Anolis sagrei: one gene and its partner. The protein of the gene in region 2 interacts with the protein of the main gene of each other region in a pairwise test. Links are inferred from orthologs where the notes say so. Each region holds a gene or a part of one and is shown on either strand. Other genes may lie near its edges.

Region 1 (8,233 bases), on a different chromosome or scaffold from region 2:
AAGGATTATTTGTGTACTCAACTACATAGATGTATGGCTGCTTCCAGTCGTCTTCCCAAGGGAAACAGAGGTACACCCTCCTTGGTGTCCTTCAGCCAGTAGGCAAAGTCATTTGGGCAGGCTTTTAGCAAATGACTGATTGCCTAGAAGCAGGCTTTTAATGGAAGGGGACCGTATTTTTATTGCGGTTCTTTTAATTGCTTTAAATCCTATTACTTTTTAATATTGCAATGTGTTTGATTGCATTTTTATACTTTTTTGAATTTTTATTTGTATCTTTGAATCTTGTTGTATTTGAACTTCCAGAGATAGATGAGTTACAAATAAAAACAAACCCAAAATATTCATCAGATGTGAAGATTAAATACTGAGGTAAAGCTGAATATTGTTTGATGACAATTAATTCCACAAAGCACACAAAGCTGACATTCTATAGTAAATATCTGTAATAAATATAGAACCTTGTGCAACAGCTACAAATGGATGATAAAACTTCTCATTAAAAAAAGGTAAAGCCAACCAGTTTTACTTCTTGTAAAACAAAGCGTAACTAATATCAGAAGTTCAACAATCAAGAATTATGCATGCGGCGTTCTGTGTGGTCCCTATCTACTTGTACATAATGAAGCCTGTTGATGATGATAACTATAGCCTTTTCCTTTTATATCTAGGTTAGTGTTTCTCAACCTGGGAGAGGAGGTGTCAGAAGGGTCACCAAAGACCATTGGAAAACGCAAATTTCTAATGGTCTTAGGAACCCCTTTGGCTGGGAAGGTTGAAGATCTCACTGCCTGTTTTTCTCTTCCTTTTTGGAAACAAATGGCTGTAGTGGCCGGTCTCTCAGCTAAGGGAAGTGCTGTTCCTGAGACTCCAAGCAGGGTGGGGAGAGCAGACATGCTTGGTACATGGCAGCGTAGTGCAGATGCATGGGCAAGAGAGAGCATGCAAGGGTGGAGGAAGGCTCGCACCAGCAAGTCCCTTCAAGGCAGGTGGGAAGCACCTGTGTGACGTGGGACTGAGAATGGCCCAGCAGCATCAGAGGAGCAGCAGAAACAGCTTCGGTAATTTGTAACGCTATTTAATAGGGAAAAAATCAGTCTTTTGTTTTTTATTAATGCTCCCATTAGAAAATGCATAATTGTTTGTGTCCGCAGTGCTCTATGGATGTAGATGACCTATAACTCCACAACCCAAAGTCAATGCGCACCAAACCTTTCCAGTATTTTCTGTTGGTCATGGGAGTTCTGGTGCCAAGTTTGGTTCAATTCCCTTGTTGTTGGAGTTCAGAATGCTTTTTGATTGCTCTTTGATTTCTGGTGAACTATACATCCCAGCAACTACAACTCCCAAATGACAAAATCAGTCATTTTTGTCAGTATTCAAATCTGGATGTATCAGCTATTTGTGCCAAATTTCTTCCAGTGAATGAAAATACATCCTGCATATCAGATATTTACATTACGATTCATAACAATAGCAAAATTACAGTTATGAAGTAGCAACGAAATTAATTTTATGGTTGGGGGTCACCATAAAATGAGAAACTGTATTAAGGGGTCACAGCATTAGGAAGGTTGAGAACCACTGATCTAGCTGTAGTTATACACTTTCATGCGACAGAGGAAAAAGGGGAGGGAGGAGGAAGAAGAGGGAGAGGAAAGTTGGGATGGGGAAAGAGGCACTGGGTTGCTATGAGTTTCTGGGCTGTATGGCCATGTGACTCTGGACATGAAAACCTTCGACAACAAAAAGAGGCAGTTCAGCAGTAGTTCAGTTCTACAATTCACGTTATTTGAATACCCTATAATTCTCTTTTTGAGGCCTTAAACTATCGTAATTTGTTTCCATGGGAAATGCAACCAATGTAGGAACTGCATCCACAGACATTCCTTCAAGGACAGAAATTGATCTATTACCTGGCAGATTCCTGCTTGTATATATCAATTATGTTTTCCACCAGCAGATTCCTCTGAAGGCCATAGACGCCATGTCTGTCTAGAACAACTTCGTGCCTGCATGACGGACAGCGGAATCGACCTCCTGAAGCCACAGTGGTGCCTCCTCTCATTGGCAGATACGGGTTTGAGGCCTGTTCTTGCCAAGGAGTAAAAAAGATTGTGGAGTCAAGCATGCATTCATTCACAGATATTTCCTGCAACTGCTTTCACTTCCATATTGTAAGATGCATGTCAGACTATCTGCTTAAGAAATGATCACATGCCTTTGTGTTACTCATTGCACTTTAATCACTGTTGGATAAGGCAGAGCTGTCAAAACATTTCATTTTGGTGACACACTTTTTAGACATGAATCATTTCGCGACACAGTAATTCAGTTTTACTGGACAAAGTTTTTAGTAAGGATTTATTAATGACATGTTTTATTGCTGCGGTTATGATTTTATGTATATTAATGTTTTTTAAATTGTACTTATGCTTTGTGGCACTGAGTTTTGTCATGTAAACCGCCTCAAGTCGCTTGAGGGCTGAGAGGAGCACAGTAAATAAATAAATAAATAAATAAATAAATAAATAAATAAATGAACCAGAAGTTAAACCAATCCCTTATAAGAGATTAAAACATACATCAATTGTAATAGTGAAATGCATGGTGACATGTCATCCCATGGAAACCTTTTATTTATATGTCTTCGATATATATTGTTACATTCATGCAAAACATCTACATATTGCAGTTTGGAAAGTCCTGGAATAAGATAATCAAAGATAAACTTACCTTAACCACCAAGGCATAGTCCAAAATGCTATCCAGTAAGTACAAAGGGTACATTGTTTCCATTTTGTTTATGGAAGGTTCGCACCAGCAAGTCCCTTTTGTTTAAGGATTCCAAGTTCATAAGGTAACAACTGGGTTGTTGTGAGTTTTCCAGGTAGTATGGACCTCACAACCTCTGCGGATGCTTGCCATAGATGCAGGCAAAACGTCAGGAGAGAATGCTTCTGGAACATGGCCATACAGCCTGGAAAACTCACAACATCCCAGTGATTCTGGCCATGAAAGCCTTCGACAATACAAAGTAACAACTTCTTGTAGAGATAAACTTTCCATTCTTAGAAGTATTGGGGAAGGACAGGAATGAGTTTATATTTTAATATCTCTACGTACATTAAATAATTATAATTCATTCTAGATCAATAGGGTGGGGAGCATTTCCACATGCAAAGGATCCAGAATCATACAGCAAATAACAAACAAGTGTCTTTTTTCTAATTCATTTTTTTTCTCATCTAGAGAAAACCCTTTTTATTAAACCACCACATCTGATTTTATAATCTGAAAGGTTAAATAATTCCAAAAGGTCAACTTACCTGGAAGATATCGCTGGCACATTTTCGACATAGGTTGTGCTGACAGGGGAGGATCACCACTGGCTTAGAAAACATCTCTAAACATATGGGACAAATAAGCTGTTTCTCTAAGTTATCCATAGTTTCTTGCTCTTTGGAGAAAGACTTGTAATTAAGAGAGGTGCTCATCTCCTAGAGAGTCTGAGGAACATAGGCTCAGAATCAGAATGCGGCCAATGGGTTTCCGGGTTAGGTCCCCTGAAAAAATTCCAATGCTTGTGAGATCAAATGTCCTTTGAGACTCTTTCCCTGGATGACATTGTTTTAATGGGTGGAAGGGAAAGCAGGGAGCTGGGCCTATTTTAGAAGCAGAGCGTCATTGGCTGCCATACTCACTCTCTCCATATATGCATCTGTCACAAGGACAGATTTAGACAGGTGACAGCTCACTGGGGTGAAAGAGCAACATTCTTGTGTCCAAGAGGAATGGGGGGGGGGAGCATAGGGGAGGAGGTGGAGAAATTCAACAGTTGCCGCTGACACATGCACCACTCACTCTTTTGGAAAAGTTGAAATATCATGTTGACCATAGAATACAGCCTGGTTGTTAATATCTTTACATCTCATTGTGGTAAGAAAAAGCAAGGAGCAATTCAATAAGCATACCCTAAATACTCATATATATGTCTAGAAATTTTAGTCAAAAAGTCAGCTCCAAAAATGGTGTCATCTTATCCATGGGTCAATGTAAGTACTGTATATTAATTTTTCAAAAAACTACCACCTACTTCTCTGAATAGAATGGTAAAAGTTAAGAGCTTGGTCCATCCCAGGAAAACCTTAAAGAAGCACTGACCTCTTCTACCCTCTACACTATGGTGCTGCTTCTGGACTTTTTGATTGCCTGCACGGGGAAAATGGTAGTGGCAGTCAAAGGCCCTTTAAGTCAGTCCTAGTGTTTTCTTTTCTCCATGGAATTATTCTCAACTTATCTACATGGGGGGTATCAAAATCCACAATTCTTGCCCTGAAAAATTATGCAGGAGGTTGGCTTATACTCGAATAGATATACGATAGAGTCTTGCTTATTCAACCTTCGCTCATCCTATGTGCTGTATTATTCAAAGCAGTCTGTCTCCACAGCTGTTTCAAAACATTGCAATGTTTTGGTGCTAAATTTGTAAATACAGTAATTACTACATAATGTTACCATGTATTGAACTGCTTTTTCTGTTGATGTTTTGGTGCTTAATTTGTAAAATCATAACATAATTTGATGTTTAATAGGCTTTTCTTTAATCCCTCCTTATTACCCAATATTTTTGCTTATCCAACATTCTGCCAGCCCATTAATGTTGGATAAGTGAGACTCTACTGTAGTACTACTACTTTCTAAAACTAAAGTGGGTCCAAAAGGCAATTTTCTGGTCCTGGAACCCACTCAAATAATGATGGATTGCCAAAGAACAAACCAAAAACACGCAGAAGTAACCAGACATTTGATTATGGCTTTGGGGGATCCCCACCCCCTCCCCCTGCAAAAAAACCCTGTTGAGATGTGTAAGAAAGGCCTTCAACTATTTAATATATGAACTTCTGAAGGCTTCTAGAAGAATAATCTCCCCCCCCCCCCTTTCATGTTTTTTAATCCAGGATGTCTGAAGAGGAAAAGGGCCATAGATGTGGTGCCAGGGGTTATTCAATATGACCTTGACAGATTGGAGATCTGGAGCAAAGCTAATAAAGTGAATCTCAGAAGGGTACTATATCTAGGAAGGAAAAATGTGTAAGATTAATGGGAGAAAAAAACAACACTTGTGAAAATGATCAAACAATTTTAGCAGATTATAACAAACATTATTCAATAGTATAATGCAGTGACTAAAACAAGCAAACAAACAATGGACTGTAGGCTGCATCAAAAGGAATGTAGCGATCAGATCAAGGGAAATAGTGGAGAAATACTTTTTCCAGTTCTGAATAACAGTTCAATAAGGACAAGCTGGAATATGTCCAGAGGAAAACTGCCAATATGGTAAAAGGTCTGCAAATCAAGTGCAATGAGAAATAATTTTGAGATCTAGGTATGTTGAGCCTGGAGCAGAGAAACTTAAGAGGTAATATGATAACCATCTTCAAATATATGGAAGGATGCCATGCAAAAGATGGAATGAACTTTCTTGTTGCTTTTCTAGAGCCTCAGATATGAACTATGGAGTTCAATTACAAGAGAAGATTAGAGATTCCACCTCAATATTAGGATGAACTTGTGTACTGTTCAATGGTAGAATAGATTGGCTTGAAGGATGGTGAACTCTCCTTTTCTGTGGTTTCTAAACATAGTTTGAATGGCTCTCTCTCAGGAATCCTTTAATTGGAATACTTTGTGGTTTCTATATGATTCTGTGTGCTTCCAGGGTTGGACTTTGCCTCTTATTAACCAATTAATTGCATATTTCTAATGTCCAGAACCTACTTTTCTCAAATGGTATATAAGGCTTCAAAAAGTCTCTATCTCTTTTGTAGAAAGAAGTAAGATGTGGAAACAAGTTCCACAATTAGTTGTGTGAACCAGTCTTAGTAGTGGCAGATGGTGTGGCAGATGGAAAGATGCTCCCTTTGTAGAATAGCACTGAGGCAGGAAGCCCCCTATGCTCTCACCAGTGCGCAGTGTGGTAAAATAGCATAAAAGGATGTGGCTCAGTTGGCTTTGTACTCACACATGGCTGACCAGCGGTGTCTATTGCTAGATAATGGTAAGCCAGAGGCCCCATCCTCCTCTTCTGCCTCAAAAAGCCAATTGGCAAATGTTTGCTTCTTTCTTCTCTTGATCTTCTTCCTGTCATGCTGTCACACCTGTAGATAGTGTTGCCATAGAGAAATCATACTTAGCTCTTCAATAATATTCTTCATAAATAAGCTTTCTCTGTAGTTTTTTAAAGGAACAGTTCCAATACACTTAAAAAGAAAAAAAAACCTTTCAGTGTTTTCTAAGTTCAAGTACTTTGGAAAAATAGCGAAGATGCACCATTTTTATTGGCTGAGCAGAGGTGATAATTCTGCCTGGGTTATACGCCCATAGTATAATCCCAATGATTAAGTTCCAGCACTGGGACACTGCTTTGTTTCTGTTTATTGGATGCATGGATCCCTCATAACTTGGCACTTGTTGCAAAGTTATTTTTAAAATGACAATTTCCCAGATCACGTCTGGCATGTGAGGCCTAATCTTAAAGCAAGCCATCTGTGCTGTTACTTGCCAATACTTTATCAGACAACTGTACAAGCAGTATGTATCATGTCTATGAGTTTAAGTGCAACATCTACTTTACTTACTGTAGCAGGCGGTTGTATTCGCATTCATCCTGTACATACCACTTGCACATTGGGTCCATTTTATTTGCTAATAAAATAGCTAGGATAGCTAGCTAGCTAGAGAGAGAGAGAGAGAGAGAGAGTAAGAATATACCTCTCTCTGCTTAGAGACAGCATGGTGAAAAGGCCTGTTCATTATACTAATAGAATTTGTTATTATCTGGCTATCAAGATACAAGGAAAGTTTAAATTTCAGCTCTAAACACAAGGAAGGAGTAACCTTCAAGGGGCAATCTATACTTACAACAAAGTCTATGGGTAATCTATACTTAAAACAAAGTCTGGGCCCAACCAAAGAGCACAGGCTTTATAACTAGTCTTAAAGCTACTTCAAGATCTCTTTTGCACACTGATCCAGACTACATTGCTTTGTCTTTGAATACTATGTGTACATACAATATATGCAAATACAAGTATTCCAAATCAGGAAAAATCCAAAATCCAAAACACTTCTGGTCGCAACCATTTTGGGTAAGGGATACAGCCGCTCTTATGAATTGTGGAAGTTGAAGTCCCATACACCTGGAGGGCAGAAGTTTGCTCATGCCTGGCTGTAGAATATGGACACATCCTCATCAACTCTGGCCTACAAGAAGCACTGCTTGACTATCAAGCAAAAAGTGAGTGCTAGAAACAATATTGTATGAAAGCTGAATAGCACAATCTGGGGAATCACAACCAAACACAGTGAAGACATCTGCCCTTGTGCTTTGCTACTCCGCTGCTGAGTACACATACCCAGCGTAGAACACATCTCACCATGCTAAAACAGTAGATATGGCTCTTAATAAGACATACCACATTATCACAGGATGTCTATGCCCCACACCATGATCAAGGGTCTGGAGAACAAGCCCTATGAGGAGTGGCTTAAAGAGTTGGGTATGTTTAGCCTGAAGAAGAAAAGGATGAGAGGAGACATGATAGCCATGTATAAATATGTGAGAGGAAGTCATAAGCTGTGATGAATGGTGGGAGTTAGACTCCAAACCACCTGCAGGGCCCAAGTTTGCCCATGCACTACTGCATAGTGGAAGTTCTTCCAAATGTTCAGGTGCTGTTTGATTCCATTGCTCTGGTTTGTCCTAGTGTCCAGAGCAGCAGAAAACAAGCTTGTCCCTTCCTCAAGAGGAGACATGCTAGCCATGTATAAATACGTGAGAGGAAGTCATAGAGAAGAGGGAGCAAACTTGTTTTCTGCTGCATTGGACACTAGAACGCGGAACAATGGCTTCAAACTACAAGAGAGGAGATTCCACCTGAACATGAGGAAGAACTTTCTGACTGTGAGAGCCCTTCAGCAGTGGAACTCTCTGCCAAGGAGTGTGGTGAAGGCTTCTTCTTTGGAATCTTTTAAATAGAAGCTGGATGGCCATCTGTTGGGAGTGCTTTGAATTTGATTTTCTTGCTTCTTGGCAGGGGGTTGGACTGGATGGCCCATGATGTCTCTTCCAACTGTATGATTCTACATTATAACTGTACCCTCAATTTGCTTCTGACTCTATAAATAAATAGTCTATTCTTTATTGTAGGGAAGGAACTGCAACCTC
Region 2 (8,396 bases):
CTAAAAAGATTCACAGTATCACTGTGTAACTTTAAGAAGGGTTTTTTCCCCCCCAAACTCTTTGTTTGGATTTGTTGTACCACCTTTCTTTCCTATTCTTAGTCCAATGGGCTCTCCCTACTCTCTCGAGTGTTCAAAAGTACACAGTAAAGAAAGTGCATAATACAGTACATCTATTTGGTTAAACACAGCCAGAGCTTGGAAAATTCACTTTTTTTGGATTACAACATCCAGAATTTCCTCAGCCAGCATGCTAGCTGGGGGATTCTGGGAGGTGTAGTCTCCAAAAGTCAAGGTTTTGGGGCTGTGAAACACACACACATGGATGCAATCACAGTCTTTGCTCCTTCCCAAAGGAGTTTATCTCGATGGAGTCAGTTCTAGCAAGTCTTTTCTATCTATCTGGGCCCCTTGAGATGGTCCTCATGCAGCAACAGACACAGAGGCCCGAAGAATCCAAGCCAGTTCCTGAAAAGGAACCATTCGGGGGGGTTTTCGGGAGGAGGGAAGATGTCCCATAAGCCTCAGCCTCTCTGGGCCTCTTGAGACATGGAGCGGGACAATGAGCGAGGCAGGCCAGCTTTCTTGAAGTCGGGGCAGGCGGGTTGGACAACGGGAGGCAATTCCTTGGTGATCTCCGCCAGAGGTTTCTTGTCAAGACACACGCCTGTCACTGGCAGTGACTCCACAGACTCAGAGGGAGTGGGCGTGTATTCCCTGGCACTCAACTTGGTGGGGGTGAAGAGGGGCAAGGGCAACGCCCGCTGATATGGCAGGTGATAGGAGGTCAGGGGTTCACCCAGCAGACCCAGGCGGAGGATACCCCAGGGTGACCGCTGCACTATGACTCGAGCTTCCTGTTGCTGGCGGTAGGTCTCTTTGCGCCTCTTGTCCACTTCAAACCGATTCCAGCTGTGGAGAAGAGAGAAAGAATCAATATTAGGTTCACATCCACAAGATCTCCCAACAGTACAGAATTTCCCAAAAATTGAATTTCCTGTGCTTATGGTTAATGGTGAGAATTGGAGTAACTGTGTTTCCTCCCAATAATGACAACCTACTCAGAAAACCAAAAGGGAGTTGTGAAAACCTCTCCAAAGTGGGTGAACTGGGCAAGATTCAATGAAATGCTTCTTCACGCATCACATAGCTAGGCTATAGCAGGCATGAGCAAACTCCAACCCTCCAGGTATTTTGGACTTCAACTCCTACAATTCCTAACAACCAGTAGGCTGGGTTGTTGTAGTTTTTTTCGGGCTATATGGCCATGTTCTAGAGGCATTCTCTCCTGACGTTTCGCCTGCATCTATGGCAAGCATCCTCAGAGGTAGTAAGATGCTTGCCATAGATGCAGGCGAAATGTCGGGAGAGAATGCCTCTAGAACATGGCCATATAGCCTGAAAAAACCTACAACAACCCAGTGATTCCGGCCATGAAAGCCTTCGACAATAAACCAGTAGGCTGTTAGGAATTGTGGGAGTTGACGTCCAAAATATCTGGAGGACCAAAGTTTAGCCATGCCTGAGTTCACTACCACAAAATATGGTGATGGCCAACTATTATCAGAGGTTGGAAACTTGTGGGTTTCCAGATATTGGTAAACTTCTACTATCATACTTCATTGTTATCCTGATTGGTTAATGTTGATGGGACTTGGGTGTTCCATAGGATCTAGAAAACCACAGATTACCCAGCACTGATTTAACTGAGTTTAAATGTAAATAAGATTAATGGGAATAAAGCAATCAATGCCTACTAGTCAAGGACGCTATGTGCCACCCCATGCCTCTAATGTCATTGGCTGGAGGACATGAATAGGAGGGGGTATGTCACTCTGTGCCCCTTTTGGTTGGGCTTTGATGAGGATCTGGTTGCCCGATTGTAGAAAAGATGGCACTAAACTAGAAAGAATCCACCAACTATGGACAAAGTCTTTCTCAAACTGTGTTCCTTCAGGTGTTTTGGACTTCAGCTCCCAGAAATCCTAGCCAGATTACCAGCTGTTAAGAATTGTGGGAGCTGAAGTCCAAAACATCTGGAGGAGCACAGTTTGAGAAACTCTGAAGTAGAGGAGAGGAGACAGCTATCCTCCAGGTGCTTTGTTTGTGAGCTCCCCAGAAGAATTTGCTTGGCCCTTTCTTGAGGCAGAAAGCATGTGCAGCTGGATCTAAACTCTTGGTCAGAAAGGCTAGCTAAGCGTTCTAGTATGAAAAGTAATTTTCTCAGCCTCTGGTCTGAATCAGTAATGCAAATTCATAATCTTGTTCATCACTTGTATGCATTGCGCACTTTTTTTTCAACTCACTCCATCCATTTAAACAGTGCTGGATTGCTGGTGGTCTGACTCAATGGCCATTGTCTCTCAACCTTACTATTTTTCATCCCCCCCTTTAGCACTTTCTTTATTTCCTCTTTTGTCAAAATATAGGCTGTAAGATCCACATGTAATGGCGTGTTGTTGCTCCTTGATACAATACTATTGTCATTTAATCTGATGTTCTATATTATATTAACTGATCCTGTTAATTTACTCTGTTTCCATGATTTTTCCTATGCCATTATACATTGTCATCTACCTTACTAAACCACTTTATCCTTTAATTAGCTCACGTAGTGGTTTTCCTCCCCCCCTCCAAAATTAGTCTCCTGTTATTGTCGTTGCTAGTTATTTTTGTTATGTTGTTTTATGTTGTTTTTATGCTGTTTTAATTGTTATTGCTTTGTTTTAATTGTATTCTGCCTGGGCTTGGCCCCATGTAAGCCTCCCCAAGTCCCTTCAGGGAGATGGAGGCGGGGTAGAAAAATAAAGTTCTTCTTCTACTACTACTACTACTACTACTATTACTATTACTACTACTACTACGGATGGAATAATGGCTATATACACCCTGATGATAATAACTGATGCAGACCATTTACAGCACTGTAGCAAAACTCATGCCAACCCAAAATAACGTTGCTATGGAGTAGCCTCTTCATCCTGGTGACCTCCCCCCCCCCCCCCCCCAAGATGTATTATGGCTGAGTTGGCTGGGGTTGGTGGGAGTTGTAGTCTAACACATCTGGAGGACAACAGCTTGGAGAAGTCTACTTTGAGCCATGGCAAAGAGAAATATTTCTGAGATATCAGGTCCCTAATGCCTACCTTTTTCTCACTTCTTATTGAACCCAGTTTAGACCCAAGTCTAAACGATTAGATGGATCTACCAAAACTTTGCCTCGTTTCATAGTCTTCTTTCGAGAATCCCAAACCTATCAGTAATTTTGTGACCATTTTATTATGACCACTTTGACCAAGCCTGACCCAAACCTTGCCTAACCCGAGATCATCAAAAGACTCACCCTTCTTCAGGACGAGTGGTGAGAGATAGGTCTTTCCATTCAGCGGAGAAGGATTCTTTCCGTGCCGTGTTCCTCTCAGACACCTGGCAAGCCAGTTCAGCTGCGGACAGTGTCCCAGAGCTTCTCAGGACCACACTCTTGCCGTGCATTGTTGCGTCTGTGTCTCTTCTTCGGCTGGGATGTGAATGTAAAGCCTCAGTTCTGCCTGGGCTATTGTCCCAGCCACGGGTGACTTATATAGTTTTCCGAGTGCCCATTCCCGAGGGATTGGCGTCTGGAGCTAAACTAGGCATGCTGAGTCACTGGTGGAGCATTCTGACACTGGATACGACTCTGATCCCCCTCCCTCTTTTTGCCTCCTCGGGTTGTATGTGTTATTGGAAACCACATTTGTGATGCTATAATATGTTATGTTCATTTAACCCTCCTCTTCCTGGTGAGAACTGCTGTCAACAGGCTGTTTAAATGACTGAGTGTGAAAGATCAAAAGGGTCTGACTTCTGCCACAGTGTTTTGGTGAAAGATTTTACATCAAATACTTTTCATTTAAAGTGGACTCCCTGAAGTTGAGATATAGTCGGTTTGCTTTTGGATCTCTTGTCTGTGACAACAGGCGAATCATAAGGATATGTGTGCATTTGTGATCATGTGCAGATGACATATATTTCCTTTTCATTAAGGATAATGAAATTTCATCCAATGTTTCAACTGCTTTAGACTTTGGGATCTCTGCAATTATTTGGGATTGATCACAATACCACAATTGAAGAGAGATATTGACAAGCTGGAATGTGTCCAGAGGAGGGCGACTAAAATGATCAAGAGTCTGGAGAACAAGACCTATGAGGAGTGGCTTAAAGAGCTTGGCATGTTTAGTCTGCAGAAGAGAAGGCTGAGAGGAGACATGGTAGCCATGTATAAATATGTGAGAGGAAATCATAGGGAGGAGGGAGCAAGCTTGTTTTATGCTGCCCTGGAGACTAGGATGTGGAAGAATGGCTTCTGAATTGAAATCTTAATCAATGTTGAATTCATGGTTATATTGAGATAGAATCATAGAGTTGGAAGAGACCTCATGGGCCATCCAATCCAACCAGGCCCGTAGCCAGGATTTCGTTTCGGGGGGGGGGGGGGCTGAATTTTTTTTCAGGGGGGGTTTCAGGGGGGCTGAGTTTCGGGGGGGGGGGGGGCTGAGTCTGAGTGAAAGAGGTTCTACCCTAGCAAACCTTTTGTATCATTACCCCAATACCCCCATGCATATGGGATATATTGAGTATGGTGATCAGATCATGATATGAATAAACATAACAGTTTAAATAATGCACCAATAAGGCCTTTTCGCGAACCACCATGAAAATTTGGGGGGGGGGGGCTGAAGCCCCCCGAGCCTCCCCCCCCCCCCCCGGCTACATGCCTGAAATCCAACCCCCTGGCAGGAAGCAGGAAAATTACATTCAAAATATTCCCAAAAGATGGCCATCCAGCCTCTGTTTTAAAGTCTCCAAAGAACAAGCCTCCAGGAACTACAGGAAAGGAGATTCCATCTGAACATTAGGAAGAACTTCCCGACTGTGAGAGCTGTTCAGCAGTGGAACTCTCTGCCCTGGAGTGTGGTGGAGGCTCCTTCTTTGGAAACTTTTTAACAGAGACTGGATGGCCATCTGTCAGGGGTACTTTGAATGTAATTTTCCTTCTTCTTGGCAGGGAGTTGGACTGGATGGCCGATGAGGTTTCTTCCAAGTCTATGATTCTGTCTCAATAGAACCATGGATTCAACATTAAGATTTCAATTCAGAAGTCAGTTAATCAGAAAGGATTCAGCATCCAAATTTAGAGGTTTTCACCTTTACCGGCACTGAATCAAGCCATGAAGTCAAGCTCATGCTGAGACTCAGCAGAACTTATGAGCCAGCGAGTGTGCAATTCAGAAAGGCATTTGGTGATGGATAGAAAGGTTGAGAGATTACTTGATGGGAGTGCCCTGTGCTGAGCCGGCACAGCTGTGTGACGTGTCTGCAACATGAAGTCACTGGAAAGAAGATCTTTCCATCCAGTCACTCACCCACCCCCTCAGGTTTCAGGACCATCATGCCAGCCCTTCTGCATGATCACTTATACATACACACAAACACATATACCCAGAACCAGCCTCATAGACTCCTTCCCCACCCTTAGGGAAATACAATGTCAAAGGTCTGGCCTTACAGGGAGAGAATGTCCTGTAAAGAGGGGAACTAGGGACAGGCTAAAACAACATGGGTTGTTGACTAGGCAAAGGGCCACTAGGGAGAGAGGGGAGTCAAAGATCTGTGGGCAGGACTAGGCAGGATTCTTGCAACACGTGGAAGCCCCACACTCCAGAAGGATGATGCCAGAAGTGGGAAGCAGGGAAGAGAGGGAGGATACAAAGAAGTGAGGTAGAGATTCAGAGACAGCCTGGGCTTAATCCCATCATAGAAGCTCCCTGAGATGACCTTGGACTTAGATGCCCTCACTCAACATCACCTGGTATACTGGATTGTTGGGTGCATAAGATATCAGATATGTGCCCACCATGTATGCCTCCTCAAACTCATTGAAGTACAGAGGAAATGTGATAAAGAAATAAAGCTTTGTTTGTTTGTTTATTTATTTATGACATTTATATGCCGCCCTTCTTACCCCAAAGGGGACTCAGAGCAGCTTACAAGATATATATATATATATATATATATATATATATATATATATATATACACACACACACACACACACACACACACAATATATTATATTATTAGCATAGTACAATATCAGTATTAAATATTACTATATTGTACTATACCATTATATTGTAATATTATTAGTAATATTACATGTAATATAAATATATCATTATAATATTATAATATTATTAGTATTATATTGCATTACATTATAATATTATAAATATTATATGTACATACAATATATTACATTACATTATATTATATTATGTTATTAGCATAGCACAGGAGACAAGGTGAACTGTTCCCTGGCCCCTTCTCTCTTCATTCTGGTCCGGAGCGGCAGTTGGTACTGGCGGGGAAGGGTCCCCAAATGATGACATATGCAGGAGATAAGATGGGACTATTCCCTGGCCCCCTCTCTCTTCACTCTGTTCCAGAGCAGCAATTGGTGCTGGCGGGGAGGGGTCCCCAACTGATGACATATGCAGGAGATAAGATGGAGCTGCCCCCTGGCCCCTTCTCTCTTCACTCTGGTCCAGAGTGGCAATTGGTGCTGGGTGGAGTGGTCCCAGCTGATGATGTATCCCCTTTATGTTTATGTAATTTAAGGGAGAAATATTAGCATTTAAGAAACATAGGAAGCTTCCTTATGTCAATCGAGCCCACAGCAGTCTTATCATGGGTGGTTGAACATGGATCTGGGGATTTCATCACAAAGAGCTGGAGGAAATGAGGGAAAGTGGGGGAATGGGTAGAGTTTCGTGGAGTTCTGTTTTAAAAGAAGATGAAGAATTTATGAAGATGAAGAGGCGATCTAGGGCCCCTTCCACACAGCTGAATATAACCAAGAATATCAAGACAGAAAATCCCACATTATCTGCTTTGAACTGGATACATGGCAGTGTGGACTCAGATAATCCAGTTCAAAGCAGATATTGTGGGATTTTCTGTCTTGATATTCTAGGTTATATGGCTGTGTGGAAGGGCCCTAGATCACCTCCTCCAGCTTCTAACTGAACCACCCACTTAATTCCCATTACATGAGCAGATGATGACTCCTCTCATTTCAAGGATACCCTTTTAAAAAATAAGTATCCTTTAAGGCAGCACTGCCTTCAAGACCCTTCCACTGAAGCAGATTTAAGGCATTTTTCTTAAGGTGTCACTTTCCATGGGGTCGTTTGAACTCAAGACCCTTCTACTTAAACAGAAGCACCTTTCTTAAGACGGCACTTTCCTTGGGGGTTGATTGCACTGAGATGTCCTCCCATTATCCCTCCAGGATTTTGATTATTTGTCTTTTTATAAAACATCGCCCCGGATCTTAGGAAATTAAATTAACCCCTATCTTTCCCAGAGCCCTTGCACTGGTGATTGATCTTTCTCCAAGCCTCTGTATTGGCAATCTGGGGAAATAGGCATTTTGGCTCCTCCCACACACAACATCATTGTTATATTTACAAGCAGGCAACAAAAGCAGGACACGGGATTAACATCACAAAAGGAAGTTATTGTTAATATTGGATCATAACCTGTTAGGATCACTGACCATCGGGGTATAGATCATGAACTGATTACTAACAGTTTCTTCATAAACTGTGTTGCTTTATACAGCTCTATTTAGTAAAAAATTACTTTCAAATAAACACAAACTTCAACAGTTTCTAACTTTCTAACATGAGCTTCTGACAGATTTCTATACTCAAGCTCATTCAAGGCACAACACAATTCTCTAATAGTCATTCCTCAACCAACATTCCCTAACTGTCATCCTGTTTAAACTTGAACATTCTAAATTATCACCGAGTCAGTCACATGACCTGCAGCCCCTCCCACTGCTGTAGGTATATAGAGATAAGGAAACTGCAAATCAAAGAAGACATATACTTCAGGTTATAAAATGATACATTACAAAACAGACAAATATCATATAGAGGAGGCTTGAGAAGGTTGCTTCCTCCAACAGAACCTGGCCATTTTGCCTATAGGGAATTTAAAAATAAGTTGATTGCCAACCAGCTTAGGAATTGTTGGGAAAACCAACACTTTAGGAACAGCAAAAACCTCACCCTCACAGCTGAAACTTGCATTGTGTGAAGGGCAGCAATAGAAACATTGATTTTACTATGTGTGATGAAGTCATGGGTATTCAAGAATACACCACTCATAATCCTTTATCACTGGTAGTAGATACTGTAGATTCTGGGAGCTGAGATCCTAAGGAAGCTCCTCGTTTCTCACTTACATGCTGTACAATTATGAATTCCTTACTTTAACTGTTGTGGCTGCATCCTAAGGATTCCTGAGCTTTGTAGTCTGCTAAGACACCAGACCTTTCTTGATGA

What was found.
Region 1: the proteins of TCAP (region 2) and TRIM55 interact in a two-hybrid assay, tested with the Homo sapiens proteins (2 studies listed by BioGRID and IntAct). The link is inferred for Anolis sagrei from reciprocal best matches to the Homo sapiens genes TCAP and TRIM55.

Annotation. Positions count from the first base shown.
Region 1 is NC_090024.1:45,672,646-45,680,878, forward strand, and holds the start of TRIM55 (tripartite motif-containing protein 55), read right to left. Parts: upstream 3,644-8,233; 5' UTR 3,498-3,643; coding exon 3,330-3,497; intron 2,095-3,329; coding exon of another isoform or gene 2,090-2,094; coding exon 1,917-2,089; intron 1-1,916. UniProt on the Homo sapiens protein: E3 ubiquitin ligase that plays an important role in regulating cardiac development and contractility, muscle growth, metabolism, and fiber-type differentiation.
Region 2 is NC_090026.1:42,861,638-42,870,033, reverse strand, and holds TCAP (telethonin), read right to left. Parts: upstream 3,563-8,396; 5' UTR 3,493-3,562; coding exon 3,344-3,492; intron 913-3,343; coding exon 525-912; 3' UTR 54-524; downstream 1-53. UniProt on the Homo sapiens protein: Muscle assembly regulating factor. Mediates the antiparallel assembly of titin (TTN) molecules at the sarcomeric Z-disk.